Pelodiscus sinensis: one gene and its partners. The protein of the gene in region 3 interacts with the protein of the main gene of each other region in a pairwise test. Links are inferred from orthologs where the notes say so. Each region holds a gene or a part of one and is shown on either strand. Other genes may lie near its edges.

Region 1 (8,214 bases), on a different chromosome or scaffold from region 3:
TTACCAAGTAAGCCTATAGCAGAGCAGGGTTTCCTGAGTCCCAGGCTAGCTCTCTATACACTGGCCCTCCTATCTAATATAGTAATATTCTTTCATATTAAGAATTATACATTTTTTAAAAAGTATCGAAGTCCTACTGACCATTTAGTTAGCCATTATTATGGTAACAAAGGCACCCGGCTTTCCAGGTGGAGGGATACAAAATTTTGTTCCATACATTTAAGAAATACCACCAAAACCACAGTGTTATAGGTGTTATATGTATTTTCAAGAACAAGTTCAGGTTTGAACCTCTGAATTGTAGAGTTCACCTACTTACCTAATCGTCTAAGGTTAGGAAGCATGTGCACAACAAAAAGACGATAATCAGACTCATTTTTTACTACCGGGTTCAGGCGGAGGTCCACATCCTTGAGTGCAGCTAAACTATGAAGTCGAAATATTTCTGATAGTGATGAAATGTGATTGTAATAGAGATTGATCTTTTCTAAAAATATCAAATGCTGAATACCCTGTTAATGTATAGAAAACAAAAATCATATTAGTTTGTAATATAAACTTAGTTTTTGTTGAATGAAATACACTAGGTCACTGGTATAAATCAAAGCCAGACAAGTAGTGACTTAGCACTTTTTTCTATCTGCCTGTAGTAGTTTGGTGGTCTATATGAAAAGGGATGTTGGTCTAAAAAAAAAAAAAAAAAAACCTCATTCTAATGACACTGAAAACACTTTTTAAATTAAAACTTTTGCTGAGCAAGATGAGCAATTATTGAATTTAAAATACTAATTGAGCACCTCAAATACTGACACAAATCTGAGTTCTTCAAGCTATCATATGCTACAGATATGAATTTTCTTCATTAGTGTATTTTACATATTAGCAGCAGAAAGTGGTTTCATTAAACTAGCTATGATGTGCTAGCTATGCTCATACCTCAGACTTCTGTAGAGTTAAGCATATTGTTGCTGTTCTTCACAAAAAAGGGTTGAGAGAAGCAATTGCACTTATACTCTCATCCTGCAAAGTTTTAAGCACGTGCTTAATTCTAACCACAGGGAGTCCCAGGGGCATTGGATGAACTCATGTATTGAATTAAATATGAGCGTAAGTCTTTTTAAGATCAGAGCCACAACAGAAAAAGGTGATGGATTGACAGTACTTAATCTATTATCCTGCTTCAACTACAAAGGAGTATAATACAGGTTTGGTAATTAGTGTTTCACTATACCAAACCGCTGAAGTATCTTTGAGAAAGGCAATGTGTTATATTTTCATACATTAGTTCAGACTCTGTGCTATCTTTTGCTGAGACTTTTATCAAGGGTACCAATTATAATCTGGACTCCCACCCATCTGGAATTAGACAAACGATTTTATGATTTTATACACAGTGCTTTTGAACAACCAACAGAAAATAATTTTTGACCACTAGCCCAAACAAGGGATGTGAAGGACTAGTTGACTATCCAATAAGCAAACGTTTATCAGATAGTCAACTAGTCGCTTCCCCCGCCCCTTGCTGCCTCTATAACAGAGGCAACAAGGGGGGGAAGAAGAGTAGGGTACTTCAAAGTGGCAGCACCGCATGGAGCCTGAGGTCAGCTGGGGACTCCCCAGCTGACCCCAGGCTCCACGCGGCGCTGCAGCATTTCAAAGTGGCAGCGCCACAGGCACTTTCACCTGGGGCAGTTGCTATACTTCAGTGCTGGAGGCACCCTATCAACTAATCAAATAGCTGATGCAAAAATGCATCAACTATTCGATTAGTCAATTACCTGATACTTAACATTCTTAGCCCAAACTAGATCAAAATTGTCATGTGGAAATAAAACATTCTATATGCTGTTACCAATGTTCCAAAGTAATGCAGAAACATTTACCTTATTAAAAAAAAAAGTTACAAGTGGGACCTCTCTGGTCCAGGAGCTCTTTGGTCCAGTAATATCCGCAGTTCTTCTGGACCATGGATGTTGCTGGACCAGAGTCCCAGAAAAGAAAGGTTCAACCTGTACCAGGTTTGCAAAGAACAAAATCCTCCCCCAATGTTGTTCCAATCTCCATAAAACCCTCAATACAACTCCTCCAATTCTCTTGTCCTTTCTCCACGACTTCAAGAGCCAACCTATTCTTGTTACATTTGTCTTAAAAAATAATTTTAAAAAATTAAGATAAACATACCTCCAAGCTAACCAATGCATTGCGAGAGAGATCTAAGGATTTTAGGCGAGTGAAATTTTTCAGAGAATGTCCTAAATGAGTAATCTTTTCATGATAAGTTCCAGGAAGAGACAATGATCGGACATCAGCTACAATGAGAAAATTTAAAACCTGAATATATTTATCATAAGAAAAATGAAATTACTAAAATTATTAAAATAAATTTCAAATCTACCTGATTATTGATGTGACAGACAATGCAGGATGAAGCTGTTCAATTTTTATGATTTTTAGCGTTGTGTGTGCCCGTGAATTAGAAATATTTATCATTGACAAGTGGAACTAAAAACAGTAGGGACTGGCTTCCTTATGCCTATTAGGGAAAATGTTAAACTTCTTGGGGGTATGCTGCTTGGTAGAAGTGCAAAGGGGACCTAAAGCAGATAATACACTTCCATCTGTATTGCTTCCCACCAGGCAGTCTGCAAGGTAACTGAGCCAGGAAGACAGAGGACAAGCCCACAAAGAGCATTCTGTTTCTATTCTCAACTCTAGTGACAGTCACAAGTGGCCAAAGAGGGGTGCCCCTATAAATTGTTTCTTGCAATCAGATCCCATCTATAGCCACTTGTGTACAGAGTATACCCACAGGCAGTAACTCCAAACTCCAGCACTCTCTGGGCCAGCAACATCCCTGATCCGGCAGAACCTTGGATGCTCCTGGACCACAGAACCCGGGAGCCCGAGGGCAGCCACAACAGAGATCGGGCCCTCCCATTGGTCAGAGGTGCTCGGGGCGTGACCACGACACAAGCCCCGCCTATTTGTTTTCTGCCCCGCCGCGATCCGCCGGATTAACGGTTTTAACCGCCAGGGCGAGGCGGAGAGGCGTGTGGGCGGGGCTGACGTCTCCGGGCGCCTGCTACCGCGAGCAGCAGCGCCCGCGGAAGGGGAGTTGCTTACCCAGGTTCTGGTGCCGCAGATTGACTCTCTCCCGAATGGCCTCCTCCGTGACCGCCGCCATCGCGTTCAAACACTGCGCATGCGCGCTGAGATACTGCTGCAGCTCCCCGCCGGAAGCGCCAATAGATACCGCGAGGGGGCGGGGCTTGCGGAGGGGGCGGGGGCTCCGGGCGGCGCCCTCTGCCCGCTCTGAGGCCGGGCGGGAAGCGGCCCCGCAGTCAGTTCGTTGCGGGGCGCAGCCTGTGGCGCGCGGCCGTGCTGCGGATGCCGCGTGGTTGTGCGCCTGCGCGGAGGTGCATTGCGATCGTCGTGCAGCAGCAGCAGCGCCCTCGGCCAGAGCCTTAGCAGGGCCTCCCCTCCACCGAGCTGCTGGCTCTCTGGGCATGGACTGAACTATTCTGTTAGTGGGGGCCGCGGAGCCTGCCCAGTAGCAGCATTGCCCGGCCACGCTATAGAGAAGCTCCACCGCCTTCGTAATGTGCAGCTGGACTGTGCGGATTCGCTGGGACATGGTCTTGGTGTCAGGGATACGCCTTTTGCTAGCCCTGTCAAAATCAATTGAGTTGTCTGAGGCGCAGTCTGCATTTGCACGTTACTGCACAGGAAAATCAGCCCTTGTCACGCTTACTTTCAAGGTGTTTACAATGGTAAGGCAGCTGCTTTTGCAGAAAAACTTGCCAGCTGTCTAAACTTCCCTTCTTGAATTTCCGCAAGAACACTGATGATCTCATGTAAGAAATCAGTGCTTTTTGCGAAAATACTAGGGTGCGCCCGTTCTGGCAAAAGTCCCTTTTGCGCAAAAGGGCCAGTGTAAACAGCTGAGATTTGTTTTGCGCAAAAAAGCCCCGATCGCGAAAATGACGATGGAGGCTTTTTTGCGGAAAAGTGCGCCTAGATTGGCCATGGCTGCTTTTCCGCAAAAAGTGCTCTTCCGGAAAAGCGTCCGTGCCAATCTAGACGCAAAACTTTTCCGTTAAAAGCATTTCCGGAAAATCATGCCAGTCTAGACGTAGCCACCATGTATGGTCCTGGATTGAACCTGCAGTCTCCCAGAAGACTCTTGTTTGCTTCCCTGCTCACCCTAAGCAGCGAAATGTCTTCCATGATTAATACAGCCTTTGGAAATTGAGTGACTATTACTAACAATTAGGCCCCCACACAGTGGTGTTTCCAAGTCACACCTGCCCAGAGTACAGTAGGGTCCTGCACCAATGAAAACCCCTGTTCCTCAGCACCAAGAAATTTCCTGCCCCCATGCATCAAGGAATTCCCTTGCCCTAGAGATGAACTCACCATTGTATGATTCTGTATCTTATGTATGCTCACTCCAGGATAGTGAGTCAATGCTAGGAATGTGAACAATGGAATGTCAATAATGGACCCTCTGTAAGTGTTGCAGATTTGTCTTGACAGAGCTGAACTTTGGCATGCTAGTCTGAACTGATATCACCTGTGGAAAGGCTTCACAAAGCAAGAAAATGGCCCCAAAAGACTTGAGAGGAGTTTTTGCATGACATCCTGAGTCTCACTGCTGCTGAGAGAATTGAAGGAGTGGAGGGACAGTGAGAGGAGGGAGCAGAAAGAAAGCACAGAGTAGCTCTTAACCTAAACATTATGGAGTAGTAAGTGGAAACACTCTAGGTGCAATTTAGCATTTCAGACAGAGCAGCTGTGCAAATGCCTCCCCCACCCCCTGCAGCCGGTGTCCCAAAACTGTTTTCCATACACGTTCCATCACTGCCAACACAATTTGGCCACCACCACCACACTCCACATCTACTCCCTCAATCTCCATCCATGCAGACTCCCACAGGCCCCTCCCTGATGCACTCAACACCCATCCCCATGAGGTTTAGCTCTGATGAACTGCAGGCCCTCTTGCACAGCAAGGCTGCATATGAAACCTAGACATAGAAAAATACATGAGACTCTGTGCTCCTTTCATAGCCCTGGTCTCAGGCTGTTCAAACTCAGCTTCCAGACGCTGAGCTTCAGCAGTCCAGGCCTGAGTGAAGCTTTCACCCCTCCTTTCGCAAATATTATGGAGGGTACAGCGCATGCCAATAGTCATAGAGATGTTGTCATTGTCCAGGTCCAGCTTCCTGTACAATCAACAGCAGCAGGCTTTCAAACACCCAAAAGCATACTCCACAGTCAGCCTGCTATTGAACTGCTCTTTACTGTTGTCAAGGCTCCTTGAGTATGGCTTTATGAGCTATGACACTAAGGGGTAGGCAGGGTTTCCAAGAATCACAATGGTCATTTCCACTTCCCTCACAGTGATCTTCTTGTCTGAGAAGAAAGTCCCCACTTGCTGCTTTCTGAATAGGCCAGTATTCCAAAAGATGCATGCATTATGCATCTTTCTGGGCCAGCCTGCACGAATGTCTGTGAAATGCCCACAGCGATCCACAGGTGCCTGCAGAGCCATGGAGAAATGCCCCTTGCTGTTAATGTACTTGGAGGCTTGCTGGTCTGGTGCCAGAATTGGAATATGTGTGCCATCTATTGCCCCATCACAGTTCAGGAAGCCATCCAAGCAGAGCCATCCACAATTTCATGTACATTGCCTAGAGTCACAGTCTTGCAGAGTAGGATGAGACTGATGGCCCTGCACACTTTCATTAACATGCGTCCAACAATCAACTTTCCCACTTCAAACTGATTGGCAACTGAGCAAAAGATGTCGGGAATACCCAGCTTCCACAGTGTGATCACCGCGTGCTTCTCCAGCAGCACGGCAACTCTCATTCACGTGTCCTTGTGTTGGAGGAAAGCTCAGCACACAATCCTATGAAAGTGGTTTTCCTCGTCCGAAAATTCTGCAGCTATCATTCCAGGCTTGCATGACAATGTGATCCCAACACTCGATGCTTGTTTCCTGAGCCCAAAGGTTGTGTTCCACTGTGCTCAGCACCTCTCTGAATGCCTCCTCATTGTCACTTTGCAACTTCAGGAATAACTTGGCAGAGCTCCCAGCCACTAGCCTCCCTGCCACCAAGCTCCTGGCTGGCAGGGCTTCCAGCTCCAGGATTCTCTGGTCCAAGAACATCTGTGGACCAGAGGGCATGTCTACACTACACGGAATATCGACACTGCCATGGCCAATATTCTGGGATTTGAATTAGTAGGTCTAGTGAAGACATACTAAATCGAACTCAGAGGGCACTCCTGTCAGCACTGATACTCCTGCTTCCTGCAAGGATTAAGGGAAGCTGATAAGAGTATTTGCTCCCATTGACCTCCCACTCTGTGGACAGTTATTTAAGATATGTTGACTCCAATTAACGTAGCTTGAGTTGTGTATCTTAGGTCGACCTTCTGCTCCAGTGTAAACTAGGCCAGAGAATCCTGGTTTAGGTAGTTGCAACCTGTAGTAGCAAAATGAGAAATTCTCCCAAAATAAACATCTAAAACATCTCGGCTGCGTCTAGACTGGCATGATTTTGCGGAAATACTTTTAACGGAAAAGTTTTTCTGTTAAAAGTATTTCCGCAAAAGAGCGTCTAGACATGCTTTTGCGCAAGAAAGCTCCGATGGCCATTTTAGCCATTGGGCTTTCTTGCGCAAAAAATTAAGGTGCCTGTCTACTACATTCAAGCGGCCAGTGTAGATTGCTGGCAAGCTTTTGCGCAAAATCTTGCCAGTCTAGACACACCCCTCTAGTATATTTGGAATGGCTAAAAGAATTGTCAGAATACAACTTGGATGGAGAAAAAAACTTATCATCAACAAAATGAGAAAAAATATACTAAAATTCAGTGTCATATGGATGCATTGATGTAATTGTGCAAAGTATACCTCGTGCATAATGTATTTCTAAACAAAATTAAGATTTTGCAATGAGTCTTTTATTAAATAATAAAGGAAAAGAAAACAGAAGCTAAAAGCAGAAAACAATAATCCTATCTGTTTGCTTTCTTCTGACCATACTAATGTCCTTAAATACAATGGGTTTCATTCTCCATTGGCTTACACTCTACCCTCTACATTTCTTTAATTTTAATGAGATAGTGTCAGGTGTGTATCAGAGCAGAATTTTTCCCTCTGTCTTCCTGCCTTTTGATCTGCTCTTACATTTTTTAACAATCTTGTTCACTAGCCTTTGTAAATGATTTTCCAAAAACATTTGTTCTGTTGACACTAGAAAAAGATAAGCTATCTAAGAAGTAATTAGCCATGGAATATTGCTTATGAGAGACCTATTTTAACTTTGGACTGCATTGATTTTGAACTGGATCAATATGATTCTGACTCAGCATATTTTTCTGATATATGAATTCAGCACAGACGAATGCTTATAAATCTTACTTTGTTTAATACCTCAAGTGAAGTTCAATATTAATAAATTTGAATTTGAGATAGATGAGATTTTGAAATTTTCAAAGTTGCTGCTTGATCACATTTTTTATTTCATTGTAAAAGAAAATCTGTATGTGACCATCTTGAAATGGCTAGCCTTTGCATCAGCACTCCCCTCCATCTCTTTCTAAGCAATGGTGGAAAGTGAAGTTAGACTACTGAAAATGGATTGCCACAACAGCTCTTTTATTCTTTTAGGGTACGTCTAGACTACAGGCTTCCATCGACAGAAGTTTTGTCGACAAAACTTCTGTCGACAAAGAGCATCCAGACTACTTCTGTCGACAAAGAGTATCCTGACCGCGGGACGGTCTGTCGACTGAAGAAGACACCCAGAAGTGCTTCTGGAAGGTCACAGAGGTAGCCTTAAAGCCCAGGCACTGCAGCATGCTCTCTGCAGAGACGCATGCTTAAAGTGATCCTCCTGGACAGCCGGTGCTCTGCTCCTGCTTCTGGCTTGCCTACCTCCTCGAGGGAAAGCAAAGCTGCTGCAGTTTTTTTGGCTCTGGTTGCCCTGCTTTCTCGGACACCACAGCAGTTTATTTTCTGGTTTGTTTATTTGTTTGCTTCTGTGTTTGCTTCTGTGTTTGTTTGTGTGTTTCTTTGGGTTTTGGCTTTTTTGGTTTTTTGTTTCTTTGTTTGTATTTTCGTCTATTTGTTTGTTTGTTTCTTTTGTTCTTTTGTTTGTGTGTTAACTTGGCTTTTTTAGCCATGGAGCCTGAGCTGCCC
Region 2 (7,920 bases), on a different chromosome or scaffold from region 3:
GGCTCCCCATGAGTGGGGCTGGGAATGCACTGGCTGCCAGCCTTCCCCCAATGACTACTGAATAATCATGTAACTGTTAAGATTTGGTGCCATTACATGATTATTCAGCTAAACAATATCTAACATCCTTAGTCACCATGACAGGGAGTGGTCTCAGAATGCCAGCTGTCTACCTGTACTGATGAAAGTAAAATGTCAGAAGGATTTGCATTATGAAATAATTTTACCATCTAATACTCTGGGCTCGCTGAACCGCGGCGAGCCCCGCTCGCCAGCCGCGCTGTCTGGTGACCTGCGCATGCACAGATCGCCCAAACCTGGCTCTTCTGGGTTACAATCTACTTGCCACGGGCGAGTAGATTGTATTATTTGTCGAGCCCTGCTAATACTTTATTCTCAAGAATCAGGTTTTAGATCTCTGTTTTGTCTTAGGTGAACATTTCTCTCCTAAATTAGTGGTTCTCAAAACTATATGATCACCCCCCGTTCTTTGTGTCTAATATTTTATGCCCTCACCATGTTATACAAGTATATGTACACACTAGGGATGTTAGCAAGTTGTGAACTGGAGTATCTACTATGCACTTTCCCCTCCCTTTGCTGCCTCTATGAGAGGCACCAAGGGGGCAGGAAACAGAAGCCTGTGCTGGCGGGAGCCGGCTTCAAAATCCCCTCCCCGCCCCGCTGTTAGTATCAGAGGCAGCAGGGGTGGGATGGGGGAGGATGCTGCAAAGCAGCCTCTGCCCATGGTGGGCTGAGGCTTGCCATGGGCAGAAGCTGCTCTGGCTGCAGCCCCTGACTGTGGGGATCCTAGCAGGTAGCTATCTCCCACCTCACCCCCCCCACAGGGGCTGCGGCCGGAGAAGCCTTTGTTCAGGGCTGGCTGCCGCAAACAGGGGCTGATGGACTCAGTACAAGCCGGGACCGAGCAGTCCCAGCTCCTGCTGGTCTGGGATGCTGAGGCTCTTCATTTTAAACAGTTTTAAAAACATTTTAAACACATTTTAAAGGCTCTGCAGAGCGGTCCTTATTGACTAATTGTATAGTCAATACAAATTGTATCGACTACACGATTAGTCAGATAATCGTAATTTAACATCCCTAACAAACAGGCCTTAAGTTTGAATTGCAAAGAGTAATATGTAACTTCATTTCCATCAAACTTTCATTTCTATTAATTCAATATGTAAGGGAGACTGGAGTAAGGAGGACGGTAACCTGTTATACTCATCCTATTCATGTAGTCAAAGCCTTATGAGTCAGCAGTGACTAAACAGTCATTTTCATTGGGAAACTAGTAAACGCTCTCAATCAGACACAATTAAAGAGATCATGTTTTTCAAGTAGCACAACTATTAAACAAAACTACTAAATTGAGAGTTCAGTGTTTCAGGCAAAAGACTGTGGCTCTATTAAATAAAAGTTAATGTATTATCTCACCCAAAGCTGTATTTACTGATCTGCTAGCTATGTTTTTAACATTTCAGTTTAATGTAAAAATACGTCTAAGCTTTTCTTTGCTTAAAAGGTACTGAGTAAGAATGTTCCTTCCTTTGTTAAACCTAATGTAGATTTTCATTTTTTAGGACAGAAACTTGCCCTACCTCTGGAGAAACAGGATTGCATAGCACTATGTTAATAGTAACATTGTACGTGAATTACTCTTGTGTGTATTATGTGTATCCCTCAAACACTGTGGCTATTCGATTGATATACCAATTCTATTTCAGAAATTTAAAGACTATTTGAAACTTCTGAGAAAGATGAACATTGAAGCTGTTACAACTTCATTTTTATTTCATGAGATTTCTATAGAACCTTCAGATGGTTACCAAGGTTGGCATATTACCTGGTAATAGCAACGTTTGATACAACAAATTCTGAATTTAATTCTAAATCATTGTTAAATAAACTTTAAACCTAACACGGGCTAAGAGGTATAAGCTAATACTGTAAACATTCTTCAAGCGATTTTTGCTTGAGAAACACAACACCACTTGATCCTTCAGGCACAAAATGTAACTTAATTTAAAAAACTTAGATATTCACTCATTTCTAAATAATAAATGCAATGTTTTATTTTGGCTTTCTATTACTACCCTATGCATGGCTTACTATCCAATGCACTAGCACACAGGAACCAGAAACTGAAACTAATCCATTTGTACTGTGCCAAATGACAGACGGGCAAAAAGGAACACAGGTAACTAGTGAAAAGGAATTCTGACATTTCGAAGTGTTTTATTAGAGGGTATTACATTTTATCAATCAAGTTTTATTTTAAAAAAATAAGATAAAAATGCCCCTTACACATAGCTGTGGCCCAACCTAAACACGATACATTTTAATTAATCCTTATGAGCCGAACAGACTGCACAACAGCGGAATAGTAGCTGCTTCCTCCCTGCAGCATTGCAGAAGTCGACTGATGTTAGTCTAAAGGCAATAAAGTCACTTCGTTTCAGACACACTTAAAGAACCCCGTTATCCTTCCGCAGGGTTTGGAGGCGCTGGAGAGACACAGCACAAGGCACTCCCGGGGCGTCAGGCTCCTTCCTGCGGCCGCCTCCTCTTTTAGTGAAGCCACGCGCCTCTCAAGGGCCTGCAGACTCAGCGATCAGATTCCCATCCCTGAAGCCCCCTCTCACCTCAGCAGGCCGCGCACCACAGGGGCGGGCTCCCCCCCCCCCGTGTCCCTTGGAGGGGCTGCAAAGCCGCAGGCGTCACAATGCTCCACCCCGCGGCGTGTCCCCTTAGCTGCAGAGGCATCACAAGACCCTGCTCCCAGCCCCATTTGCCCCCAGCAGCCCCGCCGTCGCACGCGCCCCTCGCCCCGCCTTCCTCGCGCCAGCCCGGCCCGCCAGCGGGCTCTGCCCCCCCCAGTCACAGGCCCTCCCCCCCCAGCCTACCGGACCCCGCGACGTCTGCCCTCCAGCCGGGCCCCCCCCGCGTCTCCTCCCCCCCCGGGAGGCCCCGGCGACCCCCCGCCGGCCGGGGCCCCGCCTCCGCGTGAGCCCCGGCCGCCCGCGCTCACCGGCCGCCGCCGAAGCTGCTGTAGGCCCGGTCGTCATAAGCATCAAAATCCGCCATCGCCGCCTCAGCCTCCTCCCCGTGCGAGCGTGACAGGGCCGCGCCCGCAGGACCCCGCGCCGCTTATATAGGGGGCCCGGCCCGGGGCTGCCCGCGCCGCTGCCTGCGCCAAACTCCCCGCCCTGCCGCGGCTGCCCGCCGGGCTGCCTGTCTAAAAAGTCCCTCACCCGCCCAGCGCTGTTCCCGCGTCTCGGGCAGCACCGTAGGGGCCAACGCAGCCTCCCCCCCCCCCCACCTGGGGTAGCCCCAAAGGAGCCTGTGTAGTCCCCCCCCAGCCTGTGTCAGCAGCATAGGGGCCAATGCAGCCTCCCCCCCACCTGGGGTAGCCCCCCCAGCCTGTGTAGTCCCCCCCCAGCCTGTGTCAGCAGCATAGGGGCCAATGCAGCCTCCTCCCCACCTGGGGTAGCCCCAAAGGAGCCTGTGTAGCCCCCCCAGCCTGTGTCAGCACCGTAGGGGCCAACGCAGCCTCCTCCCCCCCACCTGGGGTAGCCCCACAGGAGCCTGTGTAGCCCCCCCCCCAGCCTGTGTCAGCAGCATAGGGGCCAATGCAGCCTCCTCCCCATCTGGGGTAGCCCCAAAGGAGCCTGTGTAGCCCCCCCAGCCTGTGTCAGCACCATAGGGGCCAACGCAGCCTCCTCCCCATCTGGGGTAGCCCCAAAGGAGCCTGTGTAGCCCCCCCCCCGCCTGTGTCAGCAGCATAGGGGCCAATGCAGCCTCCTCCCCATCTGGGGTAGCCCCAAAGGAGCCTGTGTAGCCCCCCCAGCCTGTGTCAGCACCATAGGGGCCAACGCAGCCTCCTCCCCATCTGGGGTAGCCCCAAAGGAGCCTGTGTAGCCCCCCCCCCGCCTGTGTCAGCAGCATAGGGGCCAATGCAGCCTCCTCCCCATCTGGGGTAGCCCCAAAGGAGCCTGTGTAGCCCCCCCAGCCTGTGTCAGCACCATAGGGGCCAATGCAGCCTCCTCCCCCCCACCTGGGGTAGCCCCAAAGGGGTCAATGTAGCCCCCCCAGCCTGTCAGCACCACAGGGGCCAATGCAGGCAGCCTCCTTCCCTTCCCCCAAACTGTGCCAGACACACAAGGCCCAACGCAGCCTCCTGCCCCCTCCAGCCTGTGTCTGTCTCATAGGGATTAGTGTGTTGCCTCCCCCAATACGCAGGCTGTGTGCACCATCCATGGAGCTCAATGCAGCTAGCTGCTGCTACCCAGCATGCCTGCTTATGGGCCACAGAGCCAGGGTGCTGGGCCCCCTGACTCCAGCTTGTATGCAGACCCATGGGAAGTGTTTACTGTCCTCATCCGCAGGGCTCAGGCTATCATCACAAAATGTATTTATAGCAAGTGCATTGGTGTACTCAATCGGTACTTTTAAAGAAATGCAATCAGGCAGCACAAGGCTCTGGCATTTTGGTTTTGGAAAGAAATTCTGCAATTCATAGAAATGGCGGTGTTTTTTTAGATATAAAAGCAACACAAACACTGCAGCACCCTACTAAATACACAAACTAGAAAATGACCTTTAAAAAGACCCTAACTACTCTCTATTTTTGCCACGCAACCTGAGTGTGATGTAAAAATCAACAGCATAAATTGTGACAAGCATTCGATGTTACAAACGTTTTCACATCTAAAATAATAATAAGATAATCTAAGATAATAACCCAAAGTTAGGACATTTGATTTAAAATAACAAGATTTGAATCCCTCTTAAAATATGAATCTGTTAGAATGCCTTTAAATTCTAGAATGCCTTGCCTAGGTATCACTAACAGCATAACACAAAGTACAGTCTCTTGTCTCTGTGCAGACAGGCGATGAGAAGAAATTTTAAAAGGAAAAATGACACTATACATTTATTGGACAGCTCTTCCTGGTAAATAGCATCTTGGGTGGGAACCTATCCTCATTCTTTGTGGTAATGTTGAGAGGGAAGATAATGGATTCTAGCTGAGAAACTTCCAATATCTTTAAAGATATATCCTCTGCATTATTTATTTATTTATTTTTAAACTGGGCTGCTCTTTGGGGTTTTATTATAGAAGTAGACGACATATTGATTCTTCCACAGTCTGATTGATTGTTGGTATGGTTAATGTCTGACCCAGACAAAATCAGGCTGTCATATTTCAAAAGCATTTGAGAGGCTAGCTTTCTCAATATCCATATCTACACAGCAGCTAGTTTTAGAGAATCTTACTTTCAAATTTAGGTCAGGAGACATGGACTATATTCATAATTGTAATTAATAGAGTCTAAGTCAGGTGCCAATAGGAAGATCCTACAGTGCGTGTGTACTTTTTTCAGATTTTGACACTGGTTGTTCTGCAGAGTTTCATGAAATGGAGAATGTGTAGTTCTAGAAAATTTAAACAATACATTAAATATGTTGATCCTACATCACTGGTTCTTGATTTCCAGTTATCTCCTATGAGTTGCTGGTCCATATGCTTGTGTGAGGCCTCTCATGAATAGCTCATGAATTTAAACAGGACGGATCATTCACCCTAAAAATTATGGGGAAATATGTACATATGGTGATATGGGTGGGCGATTGTGAACAGTGAAGGATGCAAAGGCCCATGAGGAAGAGGGACAAGATAATCACTTGACAGGTTACCCTAAAATGCAGAACCTCCCCAAGTGCGGAGCCAGGGATATCTGCCTATTAATGAGATCTAGATTTTGCATGCGTGAGACAACTTAAATGAAGAGATGTGTGTGCAGGGAAGGTGTTAAAATTAATAATCCATGACATTTTAAGCATTTTCTACTGAAGTGCCCACAGCAAAACCCTACATTTCCCAAGAGAAACTTTAAATGGCTCCTTAAAACATGTCTGTCAATATCTGACACCTAGCCTATCAGTGGATACTTACTGAGCTCAGTTCAAGGCAGTGTTTCACAATTTGGTTTGGCCACGTAACCCTTTTAAACTAGAAGGAATTTTGCAGAACCCCTAATATATAGAACTAAAAAAGCAGACCACAAATAAGTAAGGATAATGATAAACAAATGCTAAACAAGATCATGAGATCAACATTTAGTTCAATTGCACATATTTAAAAACAAAAATCACATATTAATTTTTTTTAAATAATAAAATGTCACTGTAATGGAATTTTCTCACAGAACCCTTATTTTCACTTCGCGGAACCCTGGGGGTCCATGGAACACCATTTGGGAAACACTGGTTTAAGGACATGAGAGTGTTGATTTTTGGATGGGCCCAGGGGAAAAAAACAATAATTTTGCTAAAAAGCAAGAGACTCCATTATTTTCCCACAGCCCTGGCCTGGAGTTGCCAACCCTCCTCCCGGATTGACCTGGCATCTCCAGGAATTAAAGATGAATCTCCCATTAAAGACTGTCATATGATGAGATCTCCAGGAATACAACTAACCCAAACTGGCAACCCTATAGCTGTGTCTACACTGGCCACTTGTTCCAGAAAATCAGCCGCTTTTCCGGAATAACTTGCCAGCTGACTACACTGGCCCCTTGAATTTCCAGAAAAGCACCGACAATCTACTGTAAGAAATCAGCCGCTTTTCCGGAAATACTATGCTGCTCCCGTTCGGGCAAAAGTCCTTTTCCCGGAAAACTGTTCCGTAAAAGGGCCAGTGTAGACAGCACAGTAGTGTTTTCTGCAAAAAAAAGCCCCGATCGCGAAAATGACGATGGGGGGCTTTTTTGCGGAAAAGCGTGTCTAGATTGGCCACGGACGCTTTTCTGGAAAAAGTGCTTTTTTTTCCTGCCAATGTAGATGCGCTTTTTCCGGAAATACTTACAACGGAAAACTTTTTTAAGCATTTCCGGAAAAGGGTGCCAGTGTAGACGTAGCCTATGGGGTCTGGCCAGGTGCGGTGACCGGTGCTCTCTGCTCTGGGGGGGAACATGCAGGAGCTGGGACCAGCTGGCACACGGGAGTGACTTCCCAAAGAGAGGCGAGAGGAGTGAGATGTGAGCTAGGTCCGGGGGGAGCCGCTCTGCTGTGGCGCTGGAGACCTCGCATCCAGCGGGGCAGTTTCCACCGGGACAGCCAACCCCGCCCAGGCCGGGGCAGGCTCCCGCGGAGCCCCGGGAAAGGCCGGGCACGGCCGGGCAGCCCAGGGGCAGCACACGCGGCTGCTGCGAGCCTCCCCCGGAAGAGGCGGACCCGGGGACCCACGTGCGGCTCTGGCTGCGGCGTGGCTGGGGAGCGCTCGGCGGCAGCGCGGTATGGAGGCGGCGCCGGCCCCGGGCCCCGCTGGCCCGCGGGGGACCCTGCAGCAGAACCGGCAGTTCCTGGACTTCTTCTGGGACATCGCCAAGCCCCAGCAGGAGGTGCGCCTGGCGGCCACCGAGAGCCTGCTGCGGTACCTGCGGGCCAGCGAGCAGGTCAGAGCCGGAGGGACTGGGGGGCGCAGAGGGGTGGGGTCCGGAGGACTTGGGGGGCGCAGAGGGGTGGGGTCTCGGTGGGAATGTGAGGGGGTATCCAGAGGACTTGGGGAGTGCAGAGGGGTGGGGTCCGGAGGACTTGGGGGGCGCAGAGGGGTGGGGTCTCGGTGGGAATATGAGGGGGTGTCCAGAGGACTTGGGGAGTGCAGAGGGGTGGGGTCTCGGTGGGAATGTGAGGGGGTATCCAGAGGACTTGGGAGTGCAGAGGGGTGGGGTCCAGAGGACTTGGGGGGCGCAGAGGGGTGGGGTCCGGAGGACTTGCGGGGTACAGAGGGGTGGGGTCTCGGTGGGAAGCTGGGACGTGTCCAGAGAACTGTGGATTGCAGGGGGTGTAAGCTCTTGGTAGGAATGTGTGGGGGTGTCTAGAGGATTTGGAAAGTGCAGAGGGGTGGGGTCT
Region 3 (7,570 bases):
GGCAGTCCCCGGGTTACGTACAAGATAGGGACTGTAGGTTTGTTCTTAAGTTGAATCTGTATGTAAGTCGGAACTGGCGTCCAGATTCAGCCGCTGCTGAAACTGATCAGTTTCAACAGTGACTGAATCTGGACACCAGTTCTGACTTACATACAGATTCAACTTAAGAACCCCAGGCATCCCCAAGTCAGTTGCTGCTGAAACTGATCAGCGGCTGATTCCAGGAAGCCCGGGGCAGGGGCTTCCTGTAGTCAGCCACTGGTCATTTTCAGCAGCTGCTGACTAGGGGACACCTGGGGCAGAGCAGCTGGGGTGCTGCTGGGTTGGTCCAGTGGCACCCAGAGCGGCGCTACGGGACCAACCGGCAGCGCCCCAGCTGCTGTACCACAGGCGTCCAGAGCAAAGCCGCGGAGCACAGGGGCAGCAGGACAGCCCAGACGCGCCGTGGCTATCCTGCTGCCCTCGGGCTCCGCGGCTTTGCTCTGCTCTGCTCCCCGTCCCCCAGGTCTGCAGACCAGGGGGAGGGGGAGCAGAGTAGAGCAGAGCGGCGGAACGACAGCCCAGACGCGTCTGGGCTGTCAGCTGGCCGCGTGCTCCGCTCTGCTTCCCCCCCCCCCCCATGGTTTGCAGACCAGGGGGAGGGGGAGCAGAGCGGAGCAGAGCAGAGCGGCAGAACGCGCGGCCAGCTGACAGCCCAGATGCATCTGGGCTGTCAGCTGGCCGCGTGCTCCGCTCTGCTCCCCCCCCCCCTGCAGATCAGGGGGAGGGGGAGCAGAGCGGAGCACAGCAGAGCGGCGGAACGCGCGGCCAGCTGACAGCCCAGACGCGTCTGGGCTGTCAGCTGGCTGCGCGTTCCGCCGCTCTGCTGTGCTCCGCTCTGCTCCCCCTCCCCCTGGTCTGCAGACGGGGGGGGGGGAGGGGGGGAAGCAGAGCGGTGCGCGCGGCCAGCTAACAGCTGGCCGCGCGTTCCGCCGCCGCTTTGCTTCCTCTCCCTGGTCTGCTCGAGACCAGGGAGAGGAAGTGCCCTGTTCGTAACTGCGGATCCGACGTAAGTCGGATCCGCGTAACTCGGGGACTGCCTGTACTGACTAAAGACTCTGACTGCCACCCAGAGCACACCATGCTGGCCATTCCCAGCCCTTAGAGCTGCTTGGAGTGCATGCACGGTGCTCCAGCAGTGATTTAAAGGACATGGGGCTCTGGTTGCTGTCACTGAGCCCCAGGCCCCAGAGCAACTGACCTATTTACCCCTCACCCTCACTTCCCGTAGAGGGCCTGTAATATTGAAATATTGCATTTTGGAATTTGTCCCTTTGTCTTCCTGCTTGAAAAAAACGTTGAGCTATTGGATAGTCTTACATTCAACAAAGTAATTCAATGTTCTACAATGCAATGAAGCTTATCTACCATCTCATCCTGTGAGCGTACTTTATTGGCATTTTGTACAAAAATGTTATCCTAGGAGAGATACTGGATACTCTTCAGAATGCTCACACAGGAAATTTAAATTTTCAGCTCTGATAAATAAGCACGATATTGAGTCAAGGGCCTTCTCTTTTTCTAATGCAGTGCTACGATAAAGCACTGCAGCAGTTAACGCCCAAACGCACAAGCAAAGAACAAACCTCTAAATAGCACTAATGTTTGTGGAACCCAGAACAAGATGAGTCCCAAGTGAGTGAAAGGAATTGACAGTGGAGGCAGGAATATTTTCAGGTGGCAAGAGAAGGCTAACAGACAGCTTGTTTCAATTTATATTTTTGGAAAATATACAATCAGAGTTTTGGGGTGAAAGAGTATATGATAATAAATTATTAACAGATTACTTCCTTGAGAAGAATTTTCCAATATTATCTCAGGAAAAAAGCAGATTAGAGCATTTAGTGTAGAACTTCTCAAAGAAAGCATCCTTTCAAATGCCTTATATAACCCAGTGGTGAATCCTAGCCTTCCATTTTATAGATCAGTGATTTTTTTGTTTTAACAATAGATGATAATATAAAGCACAGGTTTTATTTCACTGGGACAACTGCCAAGCTATTGGTGTTGTACTGTAGGAATTTGACTGAGCAAATACAAATAGATTCAAGGGAAAAACCGGATCCTCAATCTTTACATAGGATTCCACAGCGCAGTTCTGTGTAAAATAAAATAAAATAAAATAAAATAAAATAAAATTAAATAAATAACAATCAACTGATGTAGCTCCCCAGTGAGAACTTTTAAGGTCAGTCTTGCTCTTTTTATTGCTGGGAGAACAATTTGTTACCAATATGTTTGCCAATAAATGGAAAGCATGAATTACTGCAGCTGTGTTCTGAATACTCTATTTATGATATTTCTGAGATAGCTATGCATCTAAGACCTCAATTCAGCAGTCCATCCTCCCAACCCAGCAAAACACTCCAGGCACCTGATAACTCCCTTTGACTAAATCTCTGGAAGTACTTTGCAGGAATGGGATGGATGTAGATACATGCTTAAATACTTTGCTGAAATTGAGGCATTAGCAGGTATGTGCCAATACAGGGTCCAGTCCTGTGAACTTTTGCAGAGGTCAAAAGACCTATAAAAGTTAATGGGACTGCTAATATATGCATAAATTATTCACAAGTGTAACTATGTAAAGGATTCAGGTCACAGTCTGCAGCTATATCATTAAAAACTTTAGTTGCTTTAAGTTAAAACTTGACTGTGAGATTAAGTTAGTCAGTGGAAGACTGTATGTGCCAAAAGCAAACCAACACAAATTGAATTAAATAATTTATCTTTTCAAAGGTAGTTCAACATTCTGATCTGAAGGGATATCATTTTGATGTTAACATACTTTACCACAGATGAAAGTTTACTTAGAAATGTACAAATACAAAACAAAACACAACTAGCAAACAGAGATTTTGTGGATTAAGGCTGATACTATCCTTTCCAACCAGAAGAGTATTTTAAAATCAGTTAGGAAGAAACACTGTTACACTGCAATTAAGTTACAAGCCTTTTCCTATGGATTATGAAATTGATCAGCATTTTAATTTATGAAGAGATTGAACTAAACGTATGAAGTAATAAAAAGTCACTGCTGAGGCCATGGTAGCAAGTAATTTCATAATTATAAAGACGGAGATACTAATTGATCCTTAAACTGTCCTTTCCTCTAAAAGAGTACAGTATTTTGTTCACATGATCAGTTCCTTTCACATTTGTTTTTTAGACAAATATGTGGCCAACTGAAGATTAAAAGTCAGAACAAAATGTTTTAAACTCACCTTTCTGTCTTACTTTCATTTATACAGAGTTGTGCTGCTGCTGCTAGATTCCTGCAGGTGTAATTTAATGAACTTTGGCAGATTTTCTGCCCAACAATGGTGTTTTACCTTTCAGTCTGATTTCTGTAAGAAGAAAACTCTTATTGGTCGCACCACATAAGGAAATGCCTGACATCACAAAAAGTAGAAAAGACAAGCTTCAGTGCACACTCATAAGCAATTTAAAGCTTTGGCAAACCAGGCCCTAGGCTGCTCACACCTGCATGTTCAGACTTATCAGATAGCAAAAGTCATTTGTAGATTTTAGTTTTCAACATACATTCCATTTGATTTTTGTGCTTTTCACTATAGTATAGCTTTTCCATCTGATCAACTTTTAGTACAGGTTTAAAACAACTGAATGAAAACCTGTGGACTGGTTCAAGACAAAACTTTGTTTTTGTTTCCCCCTGAAGAAGGCAGATGAAGCCAGAAAAAACTGAGCAACCCTAGCTCTGCTTTTGAACTTTTGAAATGTAACTTTCATTCAGTTTAGTTTGAGAGCTTTGGACACAGACCTAGAATCCTAGGTTCTAATCCTTGCTCTGCTGCTGGCTTGCTGGATTCCCAGACAAATCATGTATAAGATCACTTACCCCTTTTTCTGCTTCTTAATAGTGCATAAAAGAGGCCCTTTAAAAAAAACTAATCAAAATATCAGGTATGGGTTTTCCTTGTTTTTGCTGAAGGGCCTCTGGGAAGAATCAGAGAATGTTGTAAGATCTTAGGCCTTAATTGAAAAGACAAAGATGTTGAATTTGAGCAAAAGCTTCCTTTATATCCATAATGTTAGTCAATGCAATTATAGAGGTGTTAGCAGAAACAGCTAAAAAAAAGACATTTAAAGACAGTTTTATTAGAAATCATTTCCCCCTCCCCCACAATTGTTCAACTTGCACTTTTTTGGCTCTTGAGATGTCACCATTTCACTAATGTCCAGTCATCAGAGAGTTTCAGGTCTAGATTATTTCTAATATGAAAAAGAAGCCTTTTTGAAAGAGAAAAAGAGAGAGAGACCTTTCAAGCCATATTATATAAACATACAGCAGCAAAAAAAGACTACATCTATTCCACTCTCTCCTCTGTCCCTCCCCCTCCACCACTTTGCAGGTCTCCTTTATCCTAACTATCAAAGTTTATCCTCCATTAAATGGGTATATTTACCTATTTCACTGGCTTTTAATTCTTCTAATGTTTTTTCAGTAGCAATAGATGAAAAGTACAATGTAAGTGCTGACTATTATTTAGAATACCATTTTTGTAAAGCAAAACCACAATTAAAATACACGTATATATTCATTTCTGAAAGACCATCACAGTACCTTTCCCATAATATGATAGTGGTACGTAAGCAAAACACATCTCTCTTTCTTTTCAATTCATACTTGAAACAAACAAAAAAACCATTATCCACTTGGATAGTAGGATACTCGGTCAAGTGCTAGCGACCAATTATAGGCTGCTAGTAGAATGGTTTAAATAGCTCAGTTTAGAACCATGCAAAAAGAAAATAATGCAAAACCCACATTCAATTTAAAAGAATAATCCTTTAGGAGTCAGCAGATGAAGAATCAGAACTAGAATGACTACTCTTTTAAAAATTAAGAGCAAACTTCATAATCTTGATTTCAAGTTTGACTCTTCCATAGCAAGCAAGCCAACTAAACCACCAAAAAAAGAGTATATTTTATGGATAAAAATTAAAAAAGAGAAAATACCATGAATATCAAAGAGATAAAAAGCTGTACAGGTATACAGCATTGCAGTGAAATGACTACGTATGAATGTTTACAATAAAAATAAAAACATCTCTTTTGTCTGAAAGAATATTTTCATTGGCAGAAAACTAATGTAGTGATTACATGAATCATTACAAATACAGGGCCTTCAACTCATAATTGTTGGAACGAGGAGTGTGGGAGATGCTGCAGCACCCTGTGATTTGAAATGGTTTCCATTATACACAGAGTTTACAGTTTGATTGAGTGGCTTTCAGAACCCCCACTATAAACACTCTTCCAGCATGCCTGCTTTTCCCTAAGAAAGATTAAAAGAAGATGTTTTCATTAAAAAACACTGATTCTACAGCTATTCTACCTCATGTCGAAACAAAAATTCAGTTGTCACTAATGAAAATGTTTGTGACTAATGGATCTTTGCATCTGTCCTTTGATTCATACTGTAAGATGCTTTGTTTATCCTTCAAAATACACTAAAAACTGAATGGCAGTGAATCACTACAAAACCTAAACTAAATATTTACTAATGAAATGTCATCGTTATATACAATTGAGTTTTAAAATGGTATTTAAACTACACATACTTAACTGTGAGCAAGTGCTTAAGTCCATCCTTATTCAACAAAGGGACTTAAACATATACTTTGACTTCCACAATGATTAAGCACATGCTTAAGTGCTTTGTAGAATCAGGGCCATAGGGCTGGTGATGTGTCTTTATGTGAGGTCCTATTTTAAATCTGCCTCTTATTTACCCAGGCTGAGTACACTAGATGCTTCTTTGAACTAATGAAATTCCACCTAATGATTTAGAAGTTCACTTGTCGGATGCAAAATCAAAAGAACAAAAATGATTCATTACAGTTTTACTGTCTTTAATTTTAACACATTATACAGTTTGCATCAATTGACTGAACACACAACATCTGATTTTAATGTGTAGCCTTTCTAATTGAAGTCATTCTATACTTCCAAACTGCTGAAAGTATTTACATCAGGACAGCATAGTGTACATTCAGTTATTCATTTCCTTCTGTTAAGTTACTTCAGCTTCTGGTATATTTACTGGCACATGGTGTAGACTCAGTATACTACAAATTAGTCCAGTCAAATTACTGAAAATTGTAATAAGCAAAATGTTAGATAATATTGTTATAGGATAGGTGCTATTTGTGTTGAGCTCTGATGAGAGCATTAGTTTTTTTCCCACGCAGCCTCAACTTAAGTTTCTCCTAACCTTAATGGTGAAGTTGCCTTTCCTCACACACATCGGAACTTTCTCTAGGAAATTCTATGGAGGCTAGGGTCAGATTGACACCAGTGTGTGTTCATCTGTGCAGCTTGCTGATGGGCACTATTACAGCCCATCCTTCCAACTGTAGCCAATAGATATCTGTAACTTTGGACTGGCAAAAACAGTCCCTATAATACTCTATGCTGGGCTAGGGTGAAAGGGCATGGAGCTAAGCTGTGCAAAATGGAGAAGATGCAAAGTCACTTGAATAATAATTTCTTCAGTCCCCTTCACTGCTCTTCTGCAATGTTGGATGCTATCTACAAGTCCAAACCCGGGGATGAATTTTCCTGAGTGCCAAAATTTGCCTTCAGCTCTGGGCATAAATGTGGGGGGAAAAATCTCTTGATTCTATTGAGTTGTTTCCATACATACCAGGTCTGAATCTGGCCCACTGAGTTTGGAAGGGCAAAGACAAGTCTGGAAATGGTCCCTCATCATCCAGTTTAGTAACGGCTTTAGGTTTAAAGCCATTGTCTTTGTTTCTATTCTCCTCACCCATCCCTTCTTTTAGGGAATTAACATTTTAAATCAGATTTAAAAACCTGGGCATAGTTTTCTGGTGGATTGTGCCACGTTGGAAAGGGAGTTTACTATGGATTCTCTCATGACCACTGAGCATGGTGTACCAGTCTGCTAGGAGATGGCACTACGGACTCTCGTTTAACAACTAGTCTAGTGATGCCAGACTAAAAACACATTGTACTGTGAAGTTCTATGAAGGACCCTCACAACTGGCCCTATGTGGTATGTATACCCAGCAGTTAAACACCCAGGGCTAGCCTGGAACAGCTGACTCGGGCTCACAGGGCTGGGGCTGTAAACTTGCTGGGTAGACATTCAGGCCCAGAGTGGACTCTGAGCTCTGCACCTGGTGAAGTAGAAGGGTGGATTCTGCACTGAGCTGCACACCTACACAACAATTTTTAGCCCCATAACCTAAACCATGGGAACCCAAGTTAGCTGTCTTTTGTGCCAGTGTACACATGACTTTAGAGAGCTTATCTCAGTGCAGTTTGCATAATGCAAGATTTTCTGTGATGTGAATTTTTATGGGAAGTAAAGTTTGTCTTGATGTACAGGTCTAACGGCTTTAACAAAAAGCCCATGGAATGAAAGGAATCTTTTCATTGATTTCAGTGGGATTTGGATCAGGCTCTACCAAGCTGAAATGAACTATGTGGTGTATATGTTGCTATATAATTTATGGCTTAATTTTCTCTATACCATACCTT
Region 4 (7,647 bases), on a different chromosome or scaffold from region 3:
GTATATCATTTGCCCAAAAAGCATGGGCAGACAATCATGTATCAATTCAGGGCTCTCTTAGTTGACACAGGAACTAAATTCTAACTGTTTTGTGCTGACAATCATGGTTAGCTGTAGCAAGGCCAGTCTTAAATGTAACAGCTAGGAAACTTTAAAAAAATCATTTTACCTTCCCATATTACATGTCAGCTTATTAACCTAATTAATAATTTAGATAACCTAATTCAGAATGTGCAATCTGAGCAAGTTTATGTTGCAAAGACAGACAAGTTTTAAATGTCCTTACTTGTGCTGATACATGTAACCTCATATTCAAAGAAATGTATTACTTGGGGGAAAGGGGGTCTGTGGGGAACACTTTGGAAAGCATTAGAATTTTACATTTTCAAATGTAACTGAAATTTGATCTAAAGTCTGTGCCTGGAGTGTATCACATCTACAAAATTTCCATCTGGATGATGGCTACACTGAAATAGAGGAGTGATTCCAAGAAATAAAAAAACTCAGCTACAAAATATCCCCACTAAAATGTCAAGCTACTAATTTCATATCACTATCGCTCCCTCCTCTTATATTTCCCTGATCTTTGTGTCTTCTCTCCTCAATTATCCAAGACCTCAACATTACAAAAAGCATGTGTCAGAATTTGTTCTCAAGATCAGGCTTCCTTTTGTCCAGTTCAAACTTGTCTGCCTTCCCTGACAATCACCTGTTCTGTGCCATATATGTGATGGCAAAGAACAGGTGATTGTCAGGGAAGGCAGACATTTTTGAAGTGCCAGCAGAAGCAGCATGAAACTGACCAGATCACTGTCTATCACTTTACTGCTAACAATGAGAAGCAATGTGCAATAACAGATTGGATTAGAGACACATTATTAATGTCTCTCACCATATCAGTCCTGCACCATGAGCTCAGGATCTGCACCCTCCATTTCTCCCAAAGGGCCAGCAGAAAGAAATGGAAAAATACAGGAGGATCAGTTGAGCTTCATTTTACTCTTATCCCACGATGTTATTAAAAACGTGCTAGGTGGAGAAACAGCAGCAATACAAATGCTGTTTTTCACCCTGTAGGATTCTTTTTAATGCAGCCAAAACTCTGCTATGGTACCTTGCTTGTACCACAGGATCCCTGATTCTAGCTACTATAGAACATCTATTTCATCAAACTTTACTGTGGGTTATTAGGATGTGTATGTGCAGAAAATATTACTACTCTTTTTACAATATTAAATTTTATCAGAATATTTTAAGTTTTGCATTATTGCATCAACATAAAAATAAAAGCTAGTCTATAGCTTAGAGTGAGTTTCTACATTATCAATCTTAATAGTGGTTTTCAGTAAGAGATGGGAGAAGAGAAACAATGGACTTAGAAGCCACAAGTTATAAAAAAAATTAATGATCCACTTACATTGTGAGTTTTCATATCAGCTATTAGAATTAAGCAGTGAGATAATGTGTATAAGATAACAACTTTATGAAGCAAGAGGCTATGCCTATTCATTTACATATTCCACTTTGCAAGCATATCCAAGTTTCATATGAAGGAGATGCAGAGGCATCCCCAACCTACGTAACCCAGTTTTATTACTACATTAGGGCTATGTCCAGACTGGCATGATTTTCCCCAAATGCTTTTAACGGAAGAGGTTTTCCGTTAAAAGCATTTGCGGAAAAGAGCATCTAGATTGACAAGGACGCTTTTCCGCGATCGGGGCTTTTTTGCAGAAAACAAATCTCAGCTGTCTACACTGGCCCTTTTGCGCAAAAGCTTTGCGCAAAAGGACTTTTGCCCAAACAGGAGCAGTATAGTATTTCTGCAAGAAGCACTGATTTCAGACAGTAAGAAGTCAGTGTTCTTGCGGAAATTCAAGCGGCCAGTGTAGTCAGCTGGCAAGTTTTTCCGCAAAAGCAACCTAGGAGAAAATGTTTGGTTACATTATGCCATTACCCCAGTAAAACTGCAGAGTTTTGTGGGCCAAACAAATATATTGTTTGGCTTTTTTAAATGAATTACTCGATGAATTACTCAATAGAATATTTTCAGATAATACAGAACATTCCCCAGATAGAAAGGAAAAGGAAAATATAGTAAGTCATCCAGCCACCCAAGCAAGTACAGGATTTGCCATCAGCATATTCTTCTGTTCTACAGTCTCCTAGTCCATTTAGATTCATGCACCACATTACATCCTGAGCATTTACCTATGCGTTTAGTATACCTTAGCTACGTTTAAATAGGGCTTTCATTATTTCATGTTATAACACATCTCCATATTAGAAAGTTGTTTGACTAACCTCTTACCAGCTAGTAATTCCATAATTGTCCATAATTGAACACTATACAGTTTCTCACACTGGTAAAGTACCCAGCATCCTCCAACACTACCAGAAGATATGCTCTGAACTATACTGATCATTGGTCTGATTTTGAATAGCAATTTCTACTTTCCTATAGGGTCAATTTGCATGTCCCTTTCCTAGCCATACCACACTGCACTGTCTTAAATGCTTTGGGGGCGACATTGCCCAGGCCACTGGCAGCACAATGAATCATTCCAGTCCTATTTTACCAGACAACTTGCTCGTCAGGCGCACTCGGGGATTTGCTGCACAGTTTTAAAGCTCATTCATTTGGGATAAGGGTACTTAGTGCACGTGCAGCCTTACGGGCTCGCCGGCTCAGGGGCCGAGGTGTGTGCACGAAGGGGGGCGCCCGCAGCCTGGGAAGGAACTGCCACTGCTACAGCCATGTGCCCCGCACAGGCCCCAATATCAGCACCGGAGGCGGGGCCTGCAACTCCCTACCCCGGGGAGGAAGGAAGGGGCCCTACGGCCGGCGCAAGGATGAGTCGCCGCGACGCCGACCCGCCCCTCCGGGGTGGAAAACGCTGACTCAGCCTCCGGCTTCAGCCGGGCCCCTAGAGCCGGCGCGGGGCTGGGAAAAGGCCTCCGAGTCCGACCTCCCGGCCAGGGCCGCAGCTGCCGGGCGCGCACCGCACATCCCCGCGGGGGCCGCAGCTGCTCCGGCCCGCGGCGGTAGCACCCTGCAGCGCTCCCCGGCCCCACTAACCCCCTGCCCCCCTGCCCCAGCCACCCACCTTCTCCCCTCCACCCCCCGGTGGCCGGGGCTGCGCCCGGCCGGCCCCGCTACCTGAGGCTGTGTACCAGCTGCCGGCGTGGCTGGCCTCCCGGCAGAGCACTCGGTTGGACATCTTGGTGCCTGAGCCGCCTATGGTGTTCGGGGGGGAGGGGGCAGGAGACGGGCCCGGCCGCGGCGGCAGCGCTAATCCCCCCTCCTCCCCCGGCAGAGCCCGAGCCCCCGCGAGGGGGGGCGGGCAGTGCTGCCGGAGGCGCCGCGGACCCGGGCGGTGAACGGGGAAGCGCTGCGAGGGGTAGGCGCGGGCTCGGCCGCGGACACGAACCCGGGAGGGGGGAAGCCTGGGACAAAGCCCGAGGCAAGAGCCGGCTACTCCGCGCTCTCGGGCGAGGGGAGGCCGCGGCAGCCGGGTTTGGCCCTGCTCGTCTCCCGTGGAAAGGGGAGGGCCCAGAAGCGGGCCAAGTGGCTCGCCATTGGGTGACGAAAGCAAAAGCCCGGCCACGATTGGATGCCCTTTCTCTCCCCGTTTCCCCCCGCCCTACAGAACCGACCAGGCCTGCAATTGGACCGCGCCGCTGGAGGGGAGCGGAACGAGGGGAGGGAGGTAAAAGACCACAGGCAGGACCCGTATGGATTGGACAGCAGCAGGGTTGCCGTGGTGATGGCTTCTGGCCTCGCTGATTGGCGGGCTGGTGTCTCTGTGGTGGCAGCAGGGCAGATTAGCGGGCAGGGGCGCGTGGGGAAGCTGGGCGCACCCTGGGGGAGCGAGACCACGGGAGAAGTGGGTGGGGGAGGGAGAGCGGAGCTGCCGGGCTAAGCCCCGCCCCAACCAGAGCTACTTGGCCGGCCTGTGGGGCCCTGCTCGCCCTGTGTTGCCCAGGCAGGCCGGAAAGCGAGGCCCTGTGCGGCCCCGGCAACGCTCCCCCCTGCCCGCCTGCACGGGGGCAGCAGCCCGCCCCGCTTCAGCCCCAAGGGCCTAGCAGTGGCACTAGCAGAGGTCCTCTTCGGTCACCGTTGTACCCCAGAGGCCTTGCCTGGGGGGGGGAGGTGCTGACCCACAAAAGCCTTCCCTTTTGGGGGTGCGGGGTGCTCTTTTTACCCCAGAAGCCTTCCCTTTTTGGGATGGGGAGGGGGTGCTGACCCACAGAAAAATCAGTTGGGGCTGCACAAAAACACCTCCCAACTGAGAAGGAGAAAGGCAAGCCCCACATTCCCCTTGCACAGCAGAGCCTGGGTAGGCAGCCTCATAGATTTTGTAGGTTCCCCCCCCCCCAGGCTTTGGGGTGGGGCTCCCTGATGTTGCAGGGAGAAACCCCATGACTTGAGGGGAGCTGGATCCAGGCAAGCCAGGGGCCAGATTTGGCCCCTGGGCAGTAGGTTCCCCATCCCCGGTTAGCCCCAAAGCACTACGTGCTCTCTAACCAACCCTCAGATTTGGCATCATGGGCCCAAGGGACCTACCCCAGATTAACCAGCAGTGTACACGGAGTAGGGTAAAAAGAGATACATTGGGTTTTTGGTTTGTAATCACACACACTGTTCCTATCTGCCCCCTCCCCTCAAACAGTTAAGCAATGTCTGGGATTGTGGTAGAAGAAAGACAGTAAAAGCCCCATACCCTTGAAAATACACTTCTACCCTTTGGCTTCCACTTTATACATACCCCTGTTTTCACTTGGACATGTGTCTCTAAACTCTGAATATGACCCTTATGGTCTGAATATGACCAGCATTTAGGAGACAAAAGATCCTATATTAAACCCCCTTTAGTCTTATAAGTATCACCGAAAATGGAGGAAAAGGGTAATAAATAACTTTTGTTGTTGTTATGTAAATCAGCGGATTTCCCTGATGTTCTCATTGAGTAAGAAGCAGGGATGTAAAATCCCATTTAATTGCTTAACCGATTAAAGGGGGAGCAGGTAGAGGGCCCTGCCTGTGGCCCCCTCACCATGGATAGGAGCTGCCCTGGACAGCCAGAGCAGCCTCTGCCGGCAATGCACTCAGGCCACTGTGGTTCTGGGGCTGCTCTGGGTTGCCGGAGTACCCCTGCCTGCAGTGCACCCAGGCCCACTGCAGATTGGCTGCTGTTGTTGGACTGGAGTTCCCCTTGTCCATGGCAGGCCCCACAGGGCTGGAGCAGTCCCCTGCCTGTGGGGAGTTGCTCCAGCCCCTACCGGTTAACCAGTAAGCATCACTTGTTAAGGGTGATGCATTAACCTTTCACATTCCTATTAAAAAGGTACCATTTTAATATAGTCACTTTTCAAATCAGAGCCACACTTTGAGAAGCAGGGCAGTGTGGGACATGTTGGGCCATTTTCTGATATCAGCCACACAAATATAAATTACAGTTACTTCATGATCATCAGTGGATTTACTCCAGATTTACACTCAAGTAATTTATCAAAATCTGGCACCAAACAATTCTTTAATCCCATTCACACTAGTGGTCTAACCTCAATTCTAGCAAATTTCAGCTACAACTAAGTTTAACCTACACTTAAGCACAGTTCTTAAGTCTTATGTAAATAGGGTCTTATGTGTCATACTAAGGAGGGAAACTAATTTATTTTGAAAGTAAAGGACTGCTTTTCTGTGTGGTGTTCTTCAGTCTCCCCAGGTAACATTCCTTCCAACAATGTTGCACTCAAATAAGACCTAACAGAAGAACCAAAGAAGTAAACACTTCTTCAGAAAAAACACAGTAACCTAGACCCATCTTGTGCTGAGAAAATAGAAGCACAGGATCATCCTGCCACCCATCTACCTGCCCAACGTCCCTACCCTGTCTGACCACAGATGTTGCCAAACCAGAGAGTTCCACACCAGAGCGGTTCAACCTGTACATAAGCAAAGACAATACATACCTTAAAAGAGAACACATGAACCACAGTATGTCTATATGCAAAAACTGACCATGTTAAAATATTTAATCCAGTTGTATTAACAGTCTCTGCCTGAAATTGTAAGGGAAAAAATGTGACATAGGTTTAGCTTTGAAAGTCAAAGACAGTGTAGTGAAAAAGCAGCGAGTATGTTCAAAGTATTGATACTCTTCCAACTACTGGCATACAATATTGAGATTTGATATATATCAGAAGCAGTAGCAGAAACTCCATATTTAAAATTGAAGCTAAGTTTCCACATTAAACCCAATTTTATATTGCCCGTAACTTTTCTCCAAAGAAACCAGTGTTTTGTAATTTGAGTAAAAAGTACTTCCCTGTACTTTAAACAAAGTACAGCAGAGATATTATCTATACCATTTGCCTTCATTGTAGGTGTACTGCATTACATTTCTAAGAATTTCATTTACTGTCTCTGGATGATATTTTTTCAGCAAATAGTAAATTTAGCAAAACATTTTTTTTCAATACAAAGTTATGTATAACTGCAGGTAGAATTTGGCAAATAATTTTAGGCAAACAAAAAATAAACAAATATTAAGATTAACTATTCTGTCAACATAGAAAATGTTTAACTTGGTAAACAGTTTATTTTTTCCATGAGAAAGCAAAATTTCACTTGGGGTCAAAGCAATTTGTTTGTTTTTGTTTTGGTAGCTGAACAACAACAAAACCTTCACAATTATTAACTCAGCTCTAGTCTGGCCTATTCTTAAAGTGGTCAGTCTTGACCCTGATAAAGTTGATGTTAACTGCAATGAAAGTAGATAAGTATGATAGCTTTCAGGAATTGCTTTTAGTAGGAAATCCTTTCTTACCACTGCCACTTTAGAAACCAAAGAAGATATTGGCTTTCTGGGAAGCAATTGTTGCTAGGCCCAGACTCATCTGACGTATTACAGATCTCAAGGCACAATGCACAGTTTCCAATTCTTTCAATGCAATTGGAAACGCATACTGCAGGTGAGTTATTTCAAGTTGTGGGGTTAACCAAGCAGTCTGATAACAAGATGGACTGGTCGACGCGAGTCAGTAGAGAAATGGCTTTGGACTATGGAGAAGTACCACTTTTTAAACATTTTTGTCCAATCTTCTGGTTTAATAATTTTTCTAACTTTTAGCTGCTTTGATTATTTTTTTCAATTTTAATTGGTGTAGGCTTCCTGGAGTGTCCTCTGTTTTTCATACTTGTTTATAAAATCCATTAATTAAAGTTTACTATACACATTTCACTTTAGAGCCTTGACATAACCAGCGTTTCCTAAGAAAAAATGCTTACAAGATGTTTTGGCTCAGTTATAGGTTGGTACAGTAAAACATAGCTAAACTTCTCACAGATACCAATTGGAAGAGTTTAAAGAGAAGTCCTTTAAGAAACTGGAGTATGCCATTACTTTCTATCCGACTACCTGATCTCTACTTTGGACACTGCATACATCTGCTATGAATCTTAAAATAGTAACCAGCTACTGTTTCTAACCCAGGCTGTATAAGGAAGTGCTATATGACTATCAAGTGACACAAAATTAACATATAAAAGCTTAAAGGAATGCAGTCTTGAAATACATATCTTGGATATCAATTCTAAAAACCTTTAAAAATTACTTATAAATTGTTTAATTGCTTGTAGAC

What was found.
Region 1: the proteins of LNX1 (region 3) and CEP72 interact in binary tests that used the Homo sapiens proteins (3 or more experiments, as listed by UniProt). The link is inferred for Pelodiscus sinensis from reciprocal best matches to the Homo sapiens genes LNX1 and CEP72.
Region 2: the proteins of LNX1 (region 3) and EIF4H interact in binary tests that used the Homo sapiens proteins (3 or more experiments, as listed by UniProt). The two-hybrid records come from large-scale screens. The link is inferred for Pelodiscus sinensis from reciprocal best matches to the Homo sapiens genes LNX1 and EIF4H.
Region 4: the proteins of LNX1 (region 3) and MEMO1 interact in binary tests that used the Homo sapiens proteins (3 or more experiments, as listed by UniProt). The two-hybrid records come from large-scale screens. The link is inferred for Pelodiscus sinensis from reciprocal best matches to the Homo sapiens genes LNX1 and MEMO1.

What each region holds. Positions count from the first base shown.
Region 1 is NC_134712.1:145,501,553-145,509,766, reverse strand, and holds the start of CEP72 (centrosomal protein of 72 kDa), read right to left. Parts: upstream 3,434-8,214; 5' UTR 3,185-3,433; coding exon 3,124-3,184; intron 2,310-3,123; coding exon 2,182-2,309; intron 513-2,181; coding exon 320-512; intron 1-319. UniProt on the Homo sapiens protein: Involved in the recruitment of key centrosomal proteins to the centrosome.
Region 2 is NC_134731.1:24,656,011-24,663,930, forward strand, and holds the start of EIF4H (eukaryotic translation initiation factor 4H), read right to left. Parts: upstream 3,191-7,920; 5' UTR 3,091-3,190; coding exon 3,035-3,090; intron 1-3,034. Other genes in the region: MYBBP1A (myb-binding protein 1A), read left to right, coding at 7,305-7,463. UniProt on the Homo sapiens protein: Stimulates the RNA helicase activity of EIF4A in the translation initiation complex. Binds weakly mRNA.
Region 3 is NC_134715.1:85,861,139-85,868,708, reverse strand, and holds the start of LNX1 (E3 ubiquitin-protein ligase LNX), read right to left. Parts: upstream 3,420-7,570; 5' UTR 3,264-3,419; intron 1-3,263.
Region 4 is NC_134713.1:134,287,301-134,294,947, forward strand, and holds the start of MEMO1 (protein MEMO1), read right to left. Parts: upstream 3,301-7,647; 5' UTR 3,222-3,300; coding exon of another isoform or gene 3,161-3,221; intron 1-3,160. UniProt on the Homo sapiens protein: May control cell migration by relaying extracellular chemotactic signals to the microtubule cytoskeleton. Mediator of ERBB2 signaling.